Arabidopsis thaliana: one gene and its partner. The protein of the gene in region 2 interacts with the protein of the main gene of each other region in a pairwise test. Each region holds a gene or a part of one and is shown on either strand. Other genes may lie near its edges. The genes, in order: AT3G46160 and AT4G32250.

What was found.
Region 1: the proteins of AT4G32250 (region 2) and AT3G46160 interact in a protein complementation assay, tested with the Arabidopsis thaliana proteins (one large-scale study listed by BioGRID).

The regions. Positions count from the first base shown.
Region 1 is NC_003074.8:16,945,683-16,954,876, reverse strand, and holds AT3G46160 (Protein kinase superfamily protein), read right to left. Parts: upstream 3,923-9,194; coding exon 2,741-3,922; downstream 1-2,740. Other genes in the region: UTR5 (UDP-galactose transporter 5), read left to right, coding at 87-206; AT3G46170 (NAD(P)-binding Rossmann-fold superfamily protein), read left to right, coding at 1,288-2,154; AT3G46150 (uncharacterized protein), read left to right, coding at 4,732-4,862, 4,961-5,019, 5,108-5,346; AT3G46140 (Protein kinase superfamily protein), read right to left, coding at 5,657-6,787; MYB48 (myb domain protein 48), read right to left, coding at 8,501-9,023, 9,127-9,194.
Region 2 is NC_003075.7:15,569,603-15,578,796, reverse strand, and holds AT4G32250 (Protein kinase superfamily protein), read left to right. Parts: upstream 1-5,394; 5' UTR 5,395-6,268; coding exon 6,269-6,616; intron 6,617-6,696; coding exon 6,697-6,788; intron 6,789-6,892; coding exon 6,893-7,366; intron 7,367-7,590; coding exon 7,591-8,512; 3' UTR 8,513-8,753; downstream 8,754-9,194. Other genes in the region: AT4G32272 (Nucleotide/sugar transporter family protein), read left to right, coding at 1-38, 140-273, 634-764, 863-907, 988-1,085, 1,172-1,279, 1,373-1,429, 1,528-1,602; AT4G32270 (Ubiquitin-like superfamily protein), read left to right, coding at 2,437-2,587, 2,796-2,895, 3,018-3,117, 3,332-3,426, 3,509-3,782; PDE334 (ATPase, F0 complex, subunit B/B', bacterial/chloroplast), read left to right, coding at 4,211-4,705, 4,774-4,938. UniProt on the Arabidopsis thaliana protein: Serine/threonine protein kinase acting as a regulatory component of the plastid protein import machinery by phosphorylating import receptors (e.g. the A-domain of TOC159, TOC120 and TOC132).

The DNA of each region.
Region 1 (9,194 bases), on a different chromosome or scaffold from region 2:
GCTCTTCCAATCCTCTCTTTACTTTGTCTTCCCTCTTTTTCATCTCTCCTTGTTCCCGAAACTAAAACCACTTTTCACTGGCGCAGGTAATTGTTTTCGGATCTCTATATGCTAAAACCTTCGTGAAGAAGAAATCAGAAAAGCCGCCGGCAGCTCAAGAACTTCCACGGGATGAAGAGGCGCAGCCTCTGAAGGGAAACCCTTAAAGCACAGAGAGAGCTTTATCTTCTCTGAGGCTTAAACAGTTACCAGCCAAATCTAAAGATCCCTCTGTCTTTGAGGCATCTAACTAACAAAACTAAAGCAGTTGAGTCATACATGACGTAGGACGGGTACTTATAGAGACCAATGAGACCAAGGATCAATTTATTTACTGTTTCTGTAGACTTGTTAAAATGATTGTGAAGTAAAATTGTTATGGAGTTTTGATATTGTATCAAGAAATATCATAAATTTGTGATACAATGGCTGATTCATATCAACTGAATTTAATACAGTAACAATTTTGGTTTAAAGGATCAAACAGAACTTAAAAGTTTGGTTATTACAGAGTTTACGATTGACACAATATAAGAAATTACACTAAAGTCAACATTAGAGTTGGTGAGAAAATCCTTTGCCTTATTTATCAGACAAGTAATCAGGGATATATGAAACAATTCCACTTTCACCAATGAGAGTTCTCCAACCTTACCAATCAAGCTTACCAGACTCGTTCTCCTGTCAACATCTCAAGCACGGTACACCCAAAAGCCCACACATCCGCACCATAATCCAAAACATTGTCCCTTATAAGCTCCGGTGACATAAACCTTGCAGTGATAGAGAACGTTGCACCATAATTGTTTTTTAGATACTTTCCAATAATAAAGAACAGTTTATTGTGGAGTCCAAACTCTGAATCATAAACGAATCGATCCGCGAGAAACTCGTGGTTATAATATAATAAACTTATATATATTATATGCATTATTGTTGCTTGTTGCCAAAACCAAGACAGAAAAAGATCATTGCATTTTGAAAACGTCGTGTTGAATTGATAGTTGACCAAAAAAACAAATATAATCAGGATAACAATAAAATCAAACCTAACGAATAAACAAATTGTCGATCTGATGATGAAATAATTAAGAGTGTAAGTATAGGACCGTCTTTTGTTATGGATGGGACTTGTTCGAGTCTGGTATATACAGATTAAATATCTTCTGACACTTCTATTTTTATATCACTAAGTTTTTTCATGTGCTTCTTCTTCTCCATCGAACATAAACAGAGAAAACAATCAATATGAGCAATCATCAAACTTTGACTTTTGTTTTTGGAGAGAAGGAGGTGTTGAAGCAATTGGAGCCGTGGTGTGAACTTAAAGACAAAGTGGTTCTTGTGACAGGAGCTTCCTCTGGTATAGGAAGAGAGATCTGTCTTGATCTAGGCAAAGCTGGTTGTAAGATTATTGCAGTAGCTCGTCGTGTCGATCGTCTCAACTCTCTCTGCTCTGAAATCAACAGCTCCAGTTCAACTGGAATCCAAGCCGCGGCTCTTAAGCTAGACGTTACATCAGACGCAGCCACCATTCAAAAAGTGGTTCAGGGAGCTTGGGGAATCTTTGGAAAGATCGATGCGTTGATCAACAATGCCGGGATCAGAGGCAATGTCAAGTCGAGTTTGGATTTGTCAAAGGAAGAATGGGACAACGTCTTCAAGACCAACTTAACGGGACCTTGGTTAGTATCTAAATATGTTTGTGTTCTAATGCGTGATGCTAAACTAGGTGGCTCGGTGATAAACATCTCATCGATTGCCGGGATTCGCGGTATATTGCCCGGTGCACTTGCATATGCTTGTTCCAAAATAGGTGTTGATACCATGTCAAAGATGATGGCAGTTGAGTTAGGTGTGCACAAGATCAGAGTGAACTCGATTGCGCCCGGGATTTTCAAGTCAGAGATCACACAAGGTCTTATGCAAAAGGAGTGGTTCAAGAATGTGACCGAGAGGACTGTACCATTAAAGCTGCAACAGACCGTTGATCCAGGGATAACTTCTCTCGTACGCTATCTCATCCATGACTCTTCTCAATATATATCCGGGAATACATATATTGTTGATTCCGGAGCTACATTGCCCGGTGTGCCCATCTTTTCATCTCTCTGAAATTCGAACCTTATATGTTCTGCTTGTGTGCAATAATAAGTGAATACATGTAGGAACATATTCCATGTTTTTCATTAGTAATTGCATTAACTGTAAACCAATTCTTTTTTTTATCAAAAATTTCATCTGTACAAAATGGTGGGCCTTTGGGCCCAATATATTTTGATTCCCTGATTCTTTTTTTACTTGGTTGAATTTTGTTTAGAGTTTGTATATTTTTATCAAAAACTGAGTGGAGCACTGGAGCTTTTGATTTATGGTTATTAGATGATCAATGGAGAATTCTTCGCTGGTGTTTAATTTGTTGCTTTTTTGCTTTTCTGAACCTAAGCTTAGGATCTGTATTTGTTGTAGAAGCTTATTATCTATTGGAGAAAGTAATCAACGTCTTGGTTAGTAGTAGTATATTACTAAACCTTACCTCTGATTCTGATTTTTGAATATTGTTGTGCTCTACCTCTTTTTATTTTTGGAGTAATTTCCCCTTAAATTCTATTTTTCAGTGAAACTTTTGCATTGTCATACAAATAAAGATATATAATGTAACAAGATCCAAAAAAGAGTAGAAATTAACATGAATATATTCTTATAGGTCATCTTCCGATTCCTCTTTAGGATATTCTTCATCTATTTCAATGGCTTCTTCTTCCTCAACTGCTGCTTCAGCTTCTAGATTTGCTTCATATTCTTCATCGACATCTTCTATTCCATCATAAAAGTCATCCTCTTCTTCTTCGTATATTTCTTCTTCTTCGTCTTCGTCAATCCATTTAAGGAACTCATGTTCGAGCAAACTATCAACTGACCACCTCTTAGATGGATCTCTCTCCAAACACTTTGCAAGAAAATCCTTTGCCTTATCAGACAAGTAATTAGGAATATAGGGAACGCTACCACTTTCACCAATGAGGGTCTTCCAGCCTTCCCAATCAAGCTTACCAAACTCACTCCAAACTCTTTCTCCAGTCAACATCTCAAGCACGGTACAGCCAAAAGCCCACACATCAGCACCATAATCCAAAACCATGTCCATCATAACCTCCGGGGGCAATAATCGTGACGTGCCTATCCTATGACCTAATCCTTCACCATACTCAACCGACCATTTCTTTATCGCTTTTCCAAAACCAGCGATCTGAGCAAATAGGTTATTCTCAAACGGAAGTATGATATTCTTTGGTTTGATGTCACAATGAATGATCTTCTCTTCATGAATATACTTGAGACCAAGCAATATCTCATTAGCGAGACTCCTCACATCATCTTCCGGTAATTTTCCTCTGTTTTTTTCAATGTGTGTCGCTAGGTTTCTTCCTGAGCTGTACTCTTGTAACGTGTTGTAATACATCTTCTCGAGTAATGGATCCTTCCCGTCCTTCTCTATAGTGACCTCGTGGCCGTAGAAAGACACAACAAAAGGGTTTTGGAGACGGGATAGAAACTTTTCTTCGTTCATAAGACGTGACGCTTGTGAGATCTCAATAGATTTAATGGTCATCTCGTCAGGAAGATAGTCTTCCTCTCCTTCGATCGTGCTCTCGGCTAAGTAAACAGAACTGCGTGAAGAGTTTCCAAGATAACGAGTTACGACCCACCGATCGCTTTTTGGAATGGTTTTGATCGAATGGCCCATCTGGGTAGACGAATCAGCATCATCCTCTATCACACTCGTCTCTGAAATCGTTGTTGAATGCTTCAACTTCTTGTGAGGACGGTTAGAGTCGTCGTCCCACTGAACTAATCGATCAGAAGACATAGATCTCGGCATATTTTTCACTCTAGAACTTTTTATAATTCTCTATTTTCTCTGAATTGTTGTTGTTAGACAAAAACGATGAGACAGAGCGAAGAGGCGAGAGAGACTATTTATAACTTGTGACTCAAATTTCCTTTTTTCTTTTAGGGTTTAGTATTAGTCAAGTACAAAACCGAACCGGTTCGGTAAGAGTTTCCATTTTTCTGATTAGTATAATCTGAAACGAAATAGAAATTTAGGTTTCGGTATACGAGTTTCCTATTTCTTATTCATTATTAATTTATTTATTTCCGATCAGCAAAACCGACCCGGTTTGGTTAGAGTCTCCATTTTCCGGATTAGTTTAATCTCAAAAGAAACAGAAATTTCGGTTTCGGTATACTAAATTTCCTTCTTATTTTTTTCATAGTTTATTGTTTTGATTTCAGAATTTGTAGAATATGCGAAACTAAAACCAGTAGTCACATGTTAATTGTCTGACTTTTGGCTAGATAATTTCAGAATTTGTGGTAATAGAGTCTATACACTTGGTTTAGTTTGGTTAGTATCTTTGGTTTAGACTTTGGTTTAGTATACTTTCTAAACCAATTTATATATTCTGATTCTACAGTCAATTTCGTTTCGTTTGATAGTTTAATTTCTCCGATTGGTTGATTTTTCCGATCAATCCGTGTGTGTTTCCGATTTGTTTCTTCTCCGATCAAAGTATTCAATTTGTTCAATATCCAGTTGATTCATCAAAATTGATCGTGTTTCTGTTCGAATCATCGCCAAAAACGAGCTTCGTGTAGATCTCAGCTACTAGTTTGAGATTTGGTAAAATGGTTACATCTTCTCAGGTGATGCTCATGCCAGCTCATGATTCTGCTAAACCAACAGGATTTGGTATAATGGTTACATCGTTGGATCTCTTACGCGACCACCAGAAAGTCATTCATACTCTCTGGTTCATGTTTGATGTTATATGTTCATGGATACTGGCCCTTTCTCAGTATGAATTTAGCTTCTGGAATGAATGATAATTTCAGATTCTGGAATTGTCTTCGTTAGTGATGATGTTGTTGCTCGAGAGCTTGGTGGTTTTGATGGTTTCTGTCGCAGAGAGCGTGGTTCAGTCCAATACACCACACAATTTTGAGTGATGTATTGTGTGATGCTTGTGTCATGTTGCTGCTCAGAGATGTGTTCCAATTCCAGTTCTTCTTCTCTTTGTTGATAGCACAAACACTACACTGTCTTTTACAAGAAATGACATGACATGTGTTCCAAGACAAGGGGGAGCTGATAGTGATCATTGGTTATTCAAGAGACACCTAGCCTTGTTGCTTCCTCTTTCATTTGCTCAAGTTTATGAAGGTTTTATTTCTTTCTACGAGGAAGAAGACAAGCATATTTCATGGGATATCAAAAGTTGCAGCAGCTCTTCTCACCAATGATGATTTTGCTCTTTTACTTCATGGCAATGTTAGCTTTGCTTGGTGGAGTTGTCTAATATGGAACACTTGGTCTTGTTGTGTTTGTTCTTGTTAGCTTTAGACATCAGAATCTGTTCTATCTTAATGAAACAATATTGTGATTTGCTATAATACTCAATTAAATTTGGTGTTTCTATAAGAAAGTTATAAAAGTCTCTTATCATTTATCTCGCAAGTACGATTTATGCTAATCAAAACTTCCACAAACACATAACAAATAGAGAGTTGGATACTTCATCTTACAACTTAAAACTAATAAACAAAACCGTTACTAAACAATTATAGATCCACATTGCAAAAAGGGGTGGTTCAAGAGTGCACCAATCCCCCACCTTGAAGCAGGGTCCCTTTTTAAACATCTGCTGAGAAAATGCTGTGCTTCTTCAGATAACCAATCCGGTATATAAGGAATGTAACAGCTTTGACCGATGAGAATGTCCCAATCTACAGAACCGAGATCACTATGTTCTCCCCATACTTGTTGTCCCGTTAACATTTCCAAAACTGTGCATCCGAAAGCCCACGTGTCAACAGCGTAATCAACAATCCCATGTCGTATAAGCTCCGGAGACATGTATCGCGTTGTGCCTCTCCTATGACCTGATGCTTTTTCATACTCGCTTGAACCCTTCTCCAATGCTAAACCGAAATCCCCAATCTTTGCCACATACCCACTAGGTCTTATCCGGTTCTCGACAGGGGTTAAGAAGATATTTTCCGGTTTAATGTCACAATGAATAATGTTTGCCCTGTGGATGCAGTCGAGACCGTAAAGGATATCTCTAGCAAGAAGTTTCACATCTTTCTCTGACAATCCTCCAAGGTTATCGTTGACCAAGTCGAAGAGGCTTTTGCCAGAGCAATACTCGAGAATCAAATTGTAATTCGTTCTCTCGCCACCGAACAGAGTCTCCTCACGTGCAATCTCGTGGCCATAGCAACGAACAATGAAAGGAGATGAGAGACGGGTTAATATTCTTTCCTCGTCCATTAGACTCGAAGCTCGTGAAATCTCTGCAGATTTGATCGCCATGGTCGTTTTAGTTTTGGCCTTCTTACTTGTCGCCAGATAAACCGAACCGTAAGAGCCTCTTCCAAGGAACTCAGACTTGATCCAAGATGAAGACTTTCTGACTACTCCGTCGAATACTTGTTTGGTTATCTCTTCAACACTGCGACTACTACTACTCTTCGGTGTAAATCTCTTCCTTTTATTGTTCTTCAGAATGATCGGAGATAGTTTAAGAGTGAAAATAGGGTTTTGATCAGGAAGAGGAGGGATCACCGAGGGTGAATATCTAGGTCTTTTTGTGAGAGGAGGGTCTGATAACTCGATGAATTTGAGATGACCATATCTTTTGAGGTAACCAGAAAACGAAATCTCTGTCTCTATCATCTCCATTCTTCTTCTTTCTCTCGCTTTTCTCTGTAAAATATTTCTGAAAGTGATGAAAACAAAAACAGAGAAGAAGAAACCGAAAATTTCCTTTTTATAAGCTTGCTTTGACTTTGGTCAAAGTTTCCTTTTTTCTAGCGGTTAATGAGAAGATCGTAGTTAGATTCAGTTTCATTAAGAAATCTTCGTTAGATTCAGTTTCATAAGAAAATCTAATGCTTACATACAAACACGCGTAGTTTCCGAATATATTTGTTTTTCTTAATTTCCTTAATGAATTATGAATTGGCAGACATTTTTCTCTCACACTTTTACAGATAAATAAAAATATACATGGCAATCCATTAGTAGACCAATCACATTTGTCTCAGTAATTAAGGCAAGAAATGTAATCTAAATAGCATTCTCAAATATTATTATTACAATTTTATTATTTGATACGATTTTTTTTTAAAATTCTAGTGTTTAGACTAGTTTTTTTGTTTTATTTCAAATCACCAGTTATATTTTCGATAAACGTTAATTTCCTAAACACTAACTAATATTTAGTTTTTTTAAGAAATTTCAATTTTTTAAAACCACTAGTTTTTAATTTAGAAAATATTAGTAATATAAACAAATTTATGAATTTAGTTATTTATATTATATTATAATTATAAATTTAACATGTACTCAAATCTCCTTGTTTTTAATCGGTATCATGAAGTGATACTTTAACATTAACAAAATATTTTCTCAAATTTTAAATGTGTATTGAAAAATACTTTTTTTGGAAAAATATTTTGTGTTGTTTTGAAATTTAAACCACTTGAAGCATTTTAAATAGTGGATCAGCTTCCAACACCGTAGGATATTCGAGGCTTGACACAGATTCTTTTCTTTTTATGAACAAAATCTGGCGGGAGGGAAAACAAACAATGTAAATTGTAAATTTTCAAAATGCTCGGTCATGTCGACAAACGACGTCGTCTTGGCTAGGATGTTGGGGTCTGCATCCAACAACCAATATTATAAGGATTTGACTGCGTCGTGATGGACCGATGGTCTAATTAGGGTTCTGTTTCTGGAGTTACTCTATTCACCCGTAAGTTCTTAAATAGTTTGTGTGGTTTTTGCTTCATATTTCTATATAATATTGTCACACTCATTCAATTCACAATTGAATGTTATACATCACTGATTATGTTCCAGTTCCTGTTTTGTTTTAGCTTGGATTAAGATAAATGGTACGTAGTACCTAATGTCTCTTCACTAAATCACTGAATGAGAGAGTATATGCCATATCAAAAGATTCAAGAATGATATTTTTTCGGTCAGAATAAGCGAGTTTCTTCATAATTTTATTGTCCAAGTTTGCTTATTTTGGTATAGTACCTTAAACCTTAGATATATTAAAGAGAGATGTCACCAAAAAGAAACAGAGAAAAGAAATTGAAATTTTGAAATGTTTACTTTAGAATTAGAGTATTGAGTTGTATTATACATTGACAAACAAATAAAAGAAAGTGGGATCACAAGACTTTTATTCTTATTCATTCTAGACATAGACTTAGGCTGGTTACTTACTACTACTACACATTGTATGATTACAGAGTCCAGACTTAAGCTGTTTTTGTGTTCATCAACCAACTATTACAGTCGTTAGGTTTTATTGTATTTATAAGTTATATAACATATATATAAAACAGATTTATCTCAATGAATTAAATCTTAAAATTTTTAACCTGACGACCATGGTGATCTACTGTGTTGGAAACAGAAAGGAAACTGATCATTTGCAAAGTAAGACGATATCTTACTTTTATCTGCATCCATGTTCCATATAGAATCCAATGAGCTTTCCCATGATGGTGAAGCTAGATTTGGGTAACTTAAGCAATGGCTTTGTTCTGAGTAGATGTCTTTAACCGGTTTTATTATGTTTACTGCTGAGTGATCAATCTCTCTCCATATATCATCCAACGAGTACACGTCTTCGTTTTCTTGATTCATCTCTCTAGTGGATCGGGAACCTCCAGTGTCGTAAAAGCTCACTTCCCCTGAAGATTTACGCGAGTGGCACGATGTATCTTGAGTATTGGTGGTGGTAGTGGTCACAGATGACGAGCTGCAGTTGGAAAATGAGGAAGTTGGGGAAACAGGACGCTTCTTTTCTTGAGCTTTCTTCCTCATATGAGTCCTCCAGTAGTTCTTTATCTCGTTATCCGTTCGTCCCGGCAATTTTCGGGCTATTTTCGACCACCTACATAGATATAGATGGAAACTTTTAAGTATCAATACTGTTACAACAATAATTTGAGATTCAAGTAACCATAATTTCTGTTTCTTTCTTAGATGGATCAGACCTGTTTCCCCACTTAGCGTGAAGCTCAAGGACGAGGCGCTCTTCTTGAGGCGTCATCTTGCCACGTTT
Region 2 (9,194 bases):
ACACCCTTCCTCTAGCAATAGCATATCTTTTGTACATGGTAACCATTTTACTGAATTATTTTGGCATTTTTTTTACTGCTGTTTGGATTTCGTAGATAGTAACTGATCACAAATTTGTTCGATGTGTATCTCTTGAAAGCTAGCCTCTATGGCATCTGTTAGAGGGGTAAATGTTCCCATGTATACCACGCTTAGGCGTACTACTGTGGCATTTACTATGGTGATTGAGTACATGCTCACAGGTCAGAGATATACACGGTCTATCATTGGAAGGTAAATCACTTTTTTTTTCTTTCTTCCATACTGTAGTTTCTGTTCGTGCAAAATTGATATCTTTTCACTGTTGAATTTGATAATTTCCTGAAGTATTCAGATTCTGGGTTTAATAGTATCTCTTAGGAAGAAATAACTCCTTATGTTTGATCAAAATAGACAAGAATTAGGATTTAGGAGTTTGCGAGAGATAATTGTAGCTCTACGTTTATTCTGTATGTTACATGCCCCAGAGGCTTATGTGGTATGGTGCTTTAAGTCCCTCCATGAAAAAGTATGCACATGTTATTACCTCTAAAAGGAGAATCATGCTCCTTGACTCTTACATGCACAACTAAACTCTTGTAAAATTGATGTCAGTGTTGGTATTATCTTGCTTGGCGCATTTTTTGCTGGAGCTAGGGACTTGTCATTTGACTTTTATGGATATGGTGTTGTTTTCTTAGCCAACATATCAACAGCAGTATATCTAGCAACCATTGCCCGTACTGGTACACTAGTTACTCGCTCTCTGAATAAATTGTTTTACTACATGTCCTCCTGCCAGAGTGAAATCTCTCTTACCCAATTCTAATGTCTGGTTCTCCAGGTAAATCAAGTGGCTTGAATAGCTTTGGCCTTATGTGGTCCAATGGTAATATAAACTAAACAGATAACTAAATTGACCCTAAACACTCAAGACTTGCTTTGAATTTGTGAGATTTTCAATGATAGGAATTATATGCGGACCTATATTGATGATTTGGACATTTATTTGCGGTGACTTGGAGAAGACAATTAACTTTCCTCACCTCTTAACTCCTGGTTTCATGGTACCGTAAATCATTATTTGCCTTATATCTGTCCACTTTGCGTTTGTGATACTGATGATCTCTTTTTCTGTTATGTTCTCACCCAGGTTGTATTACTCTGCTCGTGCGTGCTGGCTTTCGTCTTAAACTACTGCATTTTCCTTAACACCACTCTCAATTCAGCTTTGACGCAGACAATTTGTGGCAATATGAAGGTTGGTTTCACTTTATTAGTATCTCCTGTACAAAAGAAAAATGTGAAACTAATCTGCCAAGGAGAGACTTTGAACATTATATCATCGTTGCAGGATCTATTCACGGTTGGACTAGGCTGGATGCTCTTTGGAGGACTCCCATTCGACCTGGTAATTTTCTTCAACATTCCTATTATTCCATTGAACCTAAAATCGGCATCTACGTTTGCTACATCTCACTACCTTTCTTTTTTGGTTCATTTACACAGATGAATGTGATTGGACAGCTTTTTGGTTTCTTCGGGTCAGGTTTATATGCATATTATAAGATCATCGGGAGGTAACAAGTCCAAAACAAAGAAAAGCCAAAGAAAACATGAGTGGCCTAGTGATGATAAAGGCTCATTAGTTTAAGGAAAAGTTGTTGACTAGTAGTGTTCAAGTGGAGATAGAGTGTTGAGCTTTTGGTTTTGGAGGTGACTTTAGAGTAGTATTAATAATGAAAGGCCTAATTTTTTGAACTTGCGTCTTGTTCTTCTTCAGTTTTCAACAAGGCGAAAGATTAGACTATGGACAAAACTGATTTTCTATTTTTTTGAGATCTACTGACTCTAATTTATACAACTGCTTCTTTTCATTGTATATATGTAGTATTATTATACACACTTGAGAAAAGGATGACTGTAATTATACAACTGCTTCTTTTAAAGCGTTCAATGATGATTTGGTACTAGGCATTCTTGCAAAGAGCTCGGTGAAAGCAAAAATAATTACTTCAACGGTTAAAATTGCAAGTACTAGAAAAGAAAAAAAGAGCACACCCAGTGGGACTCGAACCCACAATCGCTTGATTAGAAGTCAAGCGCCTTATCCATTAGGCCATGGGTGCTTGTTGCTACATCCTTCTGAGTTGTTTTATATATCATATAATTGTATTTGTAATCGTGTTCCATACCTTCTTCAAAAGCAAAACATTCTCTCGCCGGTAAAAAAGCAGAGATCCCTTAACCATGATTTCCTTCAAAGTATATTCCCCTTCCTCATCCTCTTCCCATGCTCATGGTATCAATCTTCCACTCTGACCCAACTCAAGCTCTGATTTCTCCTACTCCGTCGCCAAAAATCTTGGAAGTAGATGTCTTAGCCCGGGAAAATCAAATTTTCTCAATAATCAATCTATGGACGTTCCACCACGCCGCTCTTTGGCTGCGTCTCTCTCGCCTCTCCGGCTAATCGATGGACTCCCTCGTCGGAGGAGTTTCAATTATAATCAGATGCCTGAAGAGCCCATCAAACTCACTGTTCTCAAGCTTGATGGATCTTCCTTTGGTACCCATTACTCATCTCCTACTTGCTTTTACCATTAAATTTTATATGTTAACTAAGAATGTTTGCTCAAAAGAACTAAAAGTTATTGCTTTACAACGAATTCTAGTTTTTTCTGTGTTGTTTCGTTTGAGGTTGTCCAGAGAAATTTGACTGGTTTCTGAATTTGTGATTTAGTACAATTCCCTTTAAGCGTAATTTGGATTTGTAGGTATTCAAGTGTTGAAGACAGCGACAGTAGGGGAGCTCAAGATGGCAGTAGAAGCTGCGTTTTCTCACTTGCCCATCTCAGGCCCTGGCAAGATCTCATGGTACCATCTCTGATTCTTTGACTTGAGTTATTCTTATAATGATTCCGATTTTGTGTCTATATTAGGATAAGTAACTGCTAAATGATTCTTGATGATCCTATTTTTACCCTGTGATTATAAAGGCCGCATGTTTGGGGACAATTCTGCTTATCTTATGAAGATAAAAGATTGATTAATGAGTCTGAGTACCTCACTGAATTTGGCATTAAAGACGGCGATCAGGTTACCCTTTTACTCTTTCTTTATCACTTGAATACATCAAAGAGTCTATGCTTATGATATTATTTCATCTTTACATGTGATGTCGTAGAACGATGCATTTGGGTAGCTAGAGTCTCTAACCTGGATTATGTAGATTGTTATAGTCCAGTTTAGTTTTGACAACATAGTGCTTTGTTTTGATGCTCTATAATGTGTTTTATCTGCCATCATTCAGCTTCGGTTCATCCGCCATATCTCAAACTACTGCATGTTAATGGTGAAGCATAAGAGCAAGACACCCCGTGTTTCTTCTTTCAAACAACTCAAACTGTAAGAACTTTTGGTGTTAAAATGTTTTTAGCATTTCATTATCCGGAATCTCCATAGTAATACATGTTTTTGGACCAATCAGGTTCTCAACCACACCGGAAACCCGGAAAAAGAACGTAATAAGGGAAGTTGAAGAAGACGGTGTTGTTGACTCCATCCCTCGGAGCCAACCAAGCTTTCTAGCAACTGTATTGGGAGGTTTGCTCTCTTACAAGTCGACGCCAAGTCAACGAGGTACTAAATACAGAAACGTGACTGCAAGTAGAGTTTTTAACAAACTCATTGCAAGGTTTCGTTTCAAGTGTAATTCCGAGAAGGATGTGTGGAACAGAAAAAAACTCATATCCGAAACCTAAAAAAAAGCACTCCTTTTCTATCATTTGATTCTTGTAGAGATTTTGATTTCCTAATCTTGGTGTTTATATACAAACTTGGATGTTGTGTGTGTGCAAAATGAATAAGGCATTGTGTATTTACGTTTGTAGTGGATATAATTGCAACCTTACCGTCTTAGCCATTTTAACCTTATCTGGTACAGCGTTCGCGTTTGCGTTTGCGTTTGCGTTTGTGTTTGCGTTTGTGGCCAAAACGCAATCATTTACTTTTTAATTGATTTTCCGCTCCATTGATTTTAATCTGACGACCACAGCCTTTAGCTTATTTGTGTGGCGAAGAGAAGAGATAACATTCCTAAGCAAATCTCTTCTCTCTCCCATTCGTCTCCAAAGAGATTACAGTTTTGAGCATTTCTCATCTCTCGAAGCTCTTCTCTGTGTGTGTGGCGATGGCTGCTAATTCGATAATGGCTTCCTCCAAACCCCTAATCTCCCTGTCATCCAACCAACAACCAAACCGAGTCCAAATTCCCAAATTCGCCAAACTTCCCCAAATTCCCAAATCCCTCACTTCCTCCACCGATCTCCGTAGCAAAGCACTATCACTCTCCTCCGCCACCGCCAAATCCTTAGCTTTAATCGCCGCTTTCGCTCCTCCGTCGATGGCGGAGGCGATGGAGAAAGCACAGCTCTTCGATTTCAATCTCACGCTTCCGATCATCGTTGTTGAGTTTCTCTTCTTGATGTTCGCTCTCGACAAGGTCTATTACTCTCCGCTTGGTAACTTCATGGATCAAAGAGACGCTTCCATCAAAGAGAAGCTCGCGAGTGTTAAGGACACTTCGACTGAAGTAAAGGAGCTCGATGAGCAAGCCGCCGCCGTGATGAGAGCAGCTAGGGCTGAGATCGCCGCCGCGCTTAACAAGATGAAGAAGGAGACTCAGGTATAAAAGAAACAACAATGCACTCAGAGTGAAGAAATTGGTAAATGGATTGTGTATTTTTTTTGCAGGTTGAAGTCGAGGAGAAGCTAGCGGAGGGAAGGAAGAAGGTGGAGGAAGAGCTAAAAGAAGCTTTGGCGAGCTTGGAGAGTCAGAAAGAAGAAACCATTAAAGCTTTGGATTCTCAGATTGCTGCTCTTAGTGAAGACATTGTCAAGAAGGTTCTTCCTTCTTAAATTATATTTTTGTTAACTGTGTAATTCTCTGTCTCTCTATCTCAAAACTTATTTACAAGAAATTACTGTAAATCTCTTCTTCTTCTTCTTCTCTGTTTCTTGGATTGTTCGTCGTTCAAAGAAGAACAATTTTTATTTTGTAAGTTTATAAATAATTAGCTCTCTTCTGTCATTTTAGATGATTAAAGTACAAGTATGTATATCGAGGAATTAGTTGTTACGGATAAAATCTTCATGCGAGTCTTATCGTCACTAGATTTATGTCTATTTGAATCGATTGAACAAAAACGCAAATGGCAGGAGTTGCTTGTGTAAAGAGTAGAGAGAAATTGAGTTTTCAGAGCCAAACACTCCAGCTTTGTCCGAAAGTGTTCATAGAAAGTTAAGTTGACTCTTCCATAACGAGCTCAGGTCCAACAACGAAGCCCAAACCTCAGTTACTCTATCTTATTATTGGGCCCTAAAACGAAATGGGCCCTAAAGCTAACGCGGGTCGGTGTTTGATTAAAACAAATGACGGGGCCTCCACGCCTTGTTCCTTCTTCTTCTTCTTCTCACGCTCACGGTTCTCTTTCTCTTCTCTGTCTTTTTCAGCTTCTGAAGTTACTTGTTTCAGTTCCCGATGATCAATTCTTAGTTTTTTTGGCTTGTTTTCTTCGTCTCTCTTTCATCAGGCCTTTGGAGTTTTGTGTTACCATTTTCGCTCGCGTCATTACTGGTGTTAGGGTTTTCTTCAAAAGCTTCTTAATCCGTCGAAATTGCTCTTTTCTCTCCCTCATTGTCGGTTACTTTCTTTGACCCTTCTCTTATGCTTCGTAAGCTGTGATTTTTTTCTCTGGTTTCATTGCAACTCTAGTTCAATTTCAGTTTGATTTCTTCGCTTAAATATTTTGTTCTATGAGATCTGAGAGTTGTCTTTATTGTTGGCTTATTTCAATCAAAACATTGGCTGGTTAACTTTGATTGACTCATGATTGATTCTATCTAGCATTAATTGGTTTTCTTTGTATTTGGTTACTGTTACTTGTTCTTCTACTTCTCCACGATTCTACTTCTCCACGATACTGTCTCTGTCCCTTGTTCGTATCGCTAACTTATTCCCATAGTGGGCACGTCTCTGGTTTCTGACTTTTCTCTTCAATTCCATGTATTGCGTTTTACCATGATGTTTAGTTTCGGAATCATTTCTTGCTTTCTCTATCTGCTTGTAAGAATAGTTAACAAGTGAGAGGAAAGTCCTTTTTGTTGCTTAAATAGTTTGATTTCTGTTGTTGAGTTTATGCGATATCCCAACTGGTGAAACTGTGTTTATTGGTTCAGACAGAGATAAATGGCTTCAAAGATTATTGCTGGCAAGCCGGATGATACCGAGTATGAAATCATTGAAGGTGAGTCTGAGAGCGCTTTAGCAGCGGGGACAAGCCCTTGGATGAATTCATCAACGTTGAAGCTTCGACATCGAATTGGAAGAGGTCCCTTCGGTGATGTTTGGCTGGCTACTCATCATCAGTCAACTGAGGACTATGATGAGCATCATGAAGTGGCCATCAAAATGCTTTATCCCATCAAGGAAGATCAAAGAAGGGTTGTGGTAGATAAGTTTGAAGATCTCTTCTCTAAATGTCAAGGACTAGAGAATGTCTGTCTGCTCAGGGGAGTCTCTAGTATCAATGGAAAGGTAAGTGAAACAAACATGTGTGTTTCTCTAGTTTCACCGTATTTTCAATTTTTGTTTAATAGCTGATTTGTATCGTGTAGATATGTGTCGTCATGAAATTCTACGAGGGCTCTCTTGGTGACAAGATGGCTCGGCTTAAAGGAGGAAAGCTTTCACTGCCAGATGTTTTGAGGTAATTCTTCATTACACAAGTAAGAAGCTCATTGTAGTAGCGTCTTCTTCATTGTAATATAGAATACTAATGTCTTTCTTATTTATGTGAACCTCGTTTTACAGATACGGGGTTGATCTGGCTACAGGGATCCTGGAGTTGCACTCAAAAGGGTTTCTCATTCTCAATCTCAAGCCCTCTAACTTTCTTCTCAGTGATAACGACAAGGCCATCCTCGGGGATGTTGGGATCCCTTATCTCCTTCTTAGTATCCCTTTACCAAGTTCTGATATGACAGAGAGACTTGGAACTCCAAACTATATGGCACCAGAACAGTGGCAACCGGATGTCAGAGGTCCCATGTCCTTTGAGACTGATTCTTGGGGATTTGGTTGCAGCATTGTTGAAATGCTGACTGGTGTACAACCTTGGTCTGGGAGATCTGCCGATGAAATATATGATTTGGTGGTGAGAAAGCAAGAAAAGCTTAGTATCCCCAGTAGCATACCGCCTCCTCTCGAGAACCTACTTCGGGGTTGCTTTATGTATGATCTTCGAAGCCGACCTTCGATGACTGACATCTTACTCGTCTTAAAGAGGTAAATCATATCTTGACACCGTTATATATTCAGTTTGAACAAGATCGATTTAGAAGTGTTTATATTTCATTATGTATGGTCATAGTATCTTCGGAAAATCCCATAGTTTTTATAGTTTCGTGTCTGATGTTTTAATATTTTTTTGGAATCCAATTTCTTTATTCTTGATGGAAATTTTAATTGGCTACCTTTAATTGTGATATTGACTGGAACCGATTTGGCAGCTTGCAGAACTCGGAGGAGGAACAGGTCAGGAGAGGCATTGATAGTAGAGAAATCAGGAAGAGCTCGGCTACTCTTGGTTATACAGAATGGTTTCTTTCAAAGGATCATCTGCAAGTGCGCGACACCGTGCGTTCAAGAAAGCCTGCCAATTCGTGTAAGCATGAGAACATGGATGTGCCAGAAGGAATGGTGGTTGGTTTAGAACGTGACTCCACAGACCCAGATGGATTTGTGCTAGTTAAAGTCCATGGTGTACATGATCCATTAAGGGTTCACGTATCTGTTCTTGAACGGGTAACTAACGGCTTAGCTTCTGGAGATTGGGTGCGTCTGAAGGTCAGGAAAGACAAGAGGCACTCTCCGGTTGGTGTTCTCCATTCAATTGACCGTGAGGGAAATGTAGCTGTTGGATTTATTGGGTTGCCAACTCTCTGGAAAGGGACATCATCGCAGCTTCAGATGGCTAAAGTATACAGTGTGGGTCAATTTGTGAAACTCAAAGCCAATGTTGTCATCCCGAGATTCAAATGGATGCGTAAAGGTAGAGGTATTTGGGCAACTGGCAGGATCTCTCAGGTTCTACCAAACGGTTGCCTTGAAGTGGACTTCCCTGGAATGTTACCTTTTGGAGAGGAACATGGAAGCTATCTTGCAGATCCGGCTGAAGTAGAGATTGTGAATTTCAATACATGTCAAGGAGCTGTGGAAAAATATCAACATCTGGAGGATTTTCATTGGGCTGTGAGACCTTTGCTTATTGCTATGGGTCTATTGACAGCGATGAAGTTAGGGATCTGTGTCAGGAAGAAAATAGGAAGGTCAAAGGATGGGAAACAACGCGATGGCTCGACTGGACAAGGTGACTGTAAGATTCCGGATGGTAAGGGCTCTGACAAATCTAAATGGCTTGTGTTCTTTTAGGTCTGCTATGAGACACAGACCTTGTCTGGTCCATATATTATACTGTTCTAGTCATAATAACGTTTCATGTACATAATGACGTTTTTCTTTTTTGCTCTTTAAAATTACCAAAAAGCTTTCACGCACCAAGTGTTACTTGCAATTTGCTTAGACAACGACTTCTTACAAAGTTAAGTATATAATTACGATAGCCATGTAATTGGAGATCACAGATGTTTTTATATTTATTGATTAAGAGAGCAAAAAAAAAAGAGGCAGTGTTGCATTTGGCTAATTCCGTGTGAGATCAATGAACTATTCAAATTCTACTTATTGAAGAACACATTTAATCTCGGAGCCTACTTGAACGACTCTCTTAAAACATCACATGGTATATGCAGCGTCCATTACAAGTAATAATGAACATAACCAAACCAAAAGAGGCAAGCTTGCATGATTTTGATGTCCATGGCATTTCCTCAACTTAAAGCAAGAGGAGAAGACCCATTATTGAACAGTCAACAAGAGCACAGAGAACCCAAATTCGAACTACAAGTAGGGAACAAGGGAGTTAGCAAAGATACAGATGACCTTCATTAATCTTAAAAAGTATCAGCTTGAGAACATAGGCCACAATGAGAATGAAGAGAGGGACTAAAGAGGCCCCATGCTCTGTCTGGTGTCAGCGCTACATGGTCCAGGA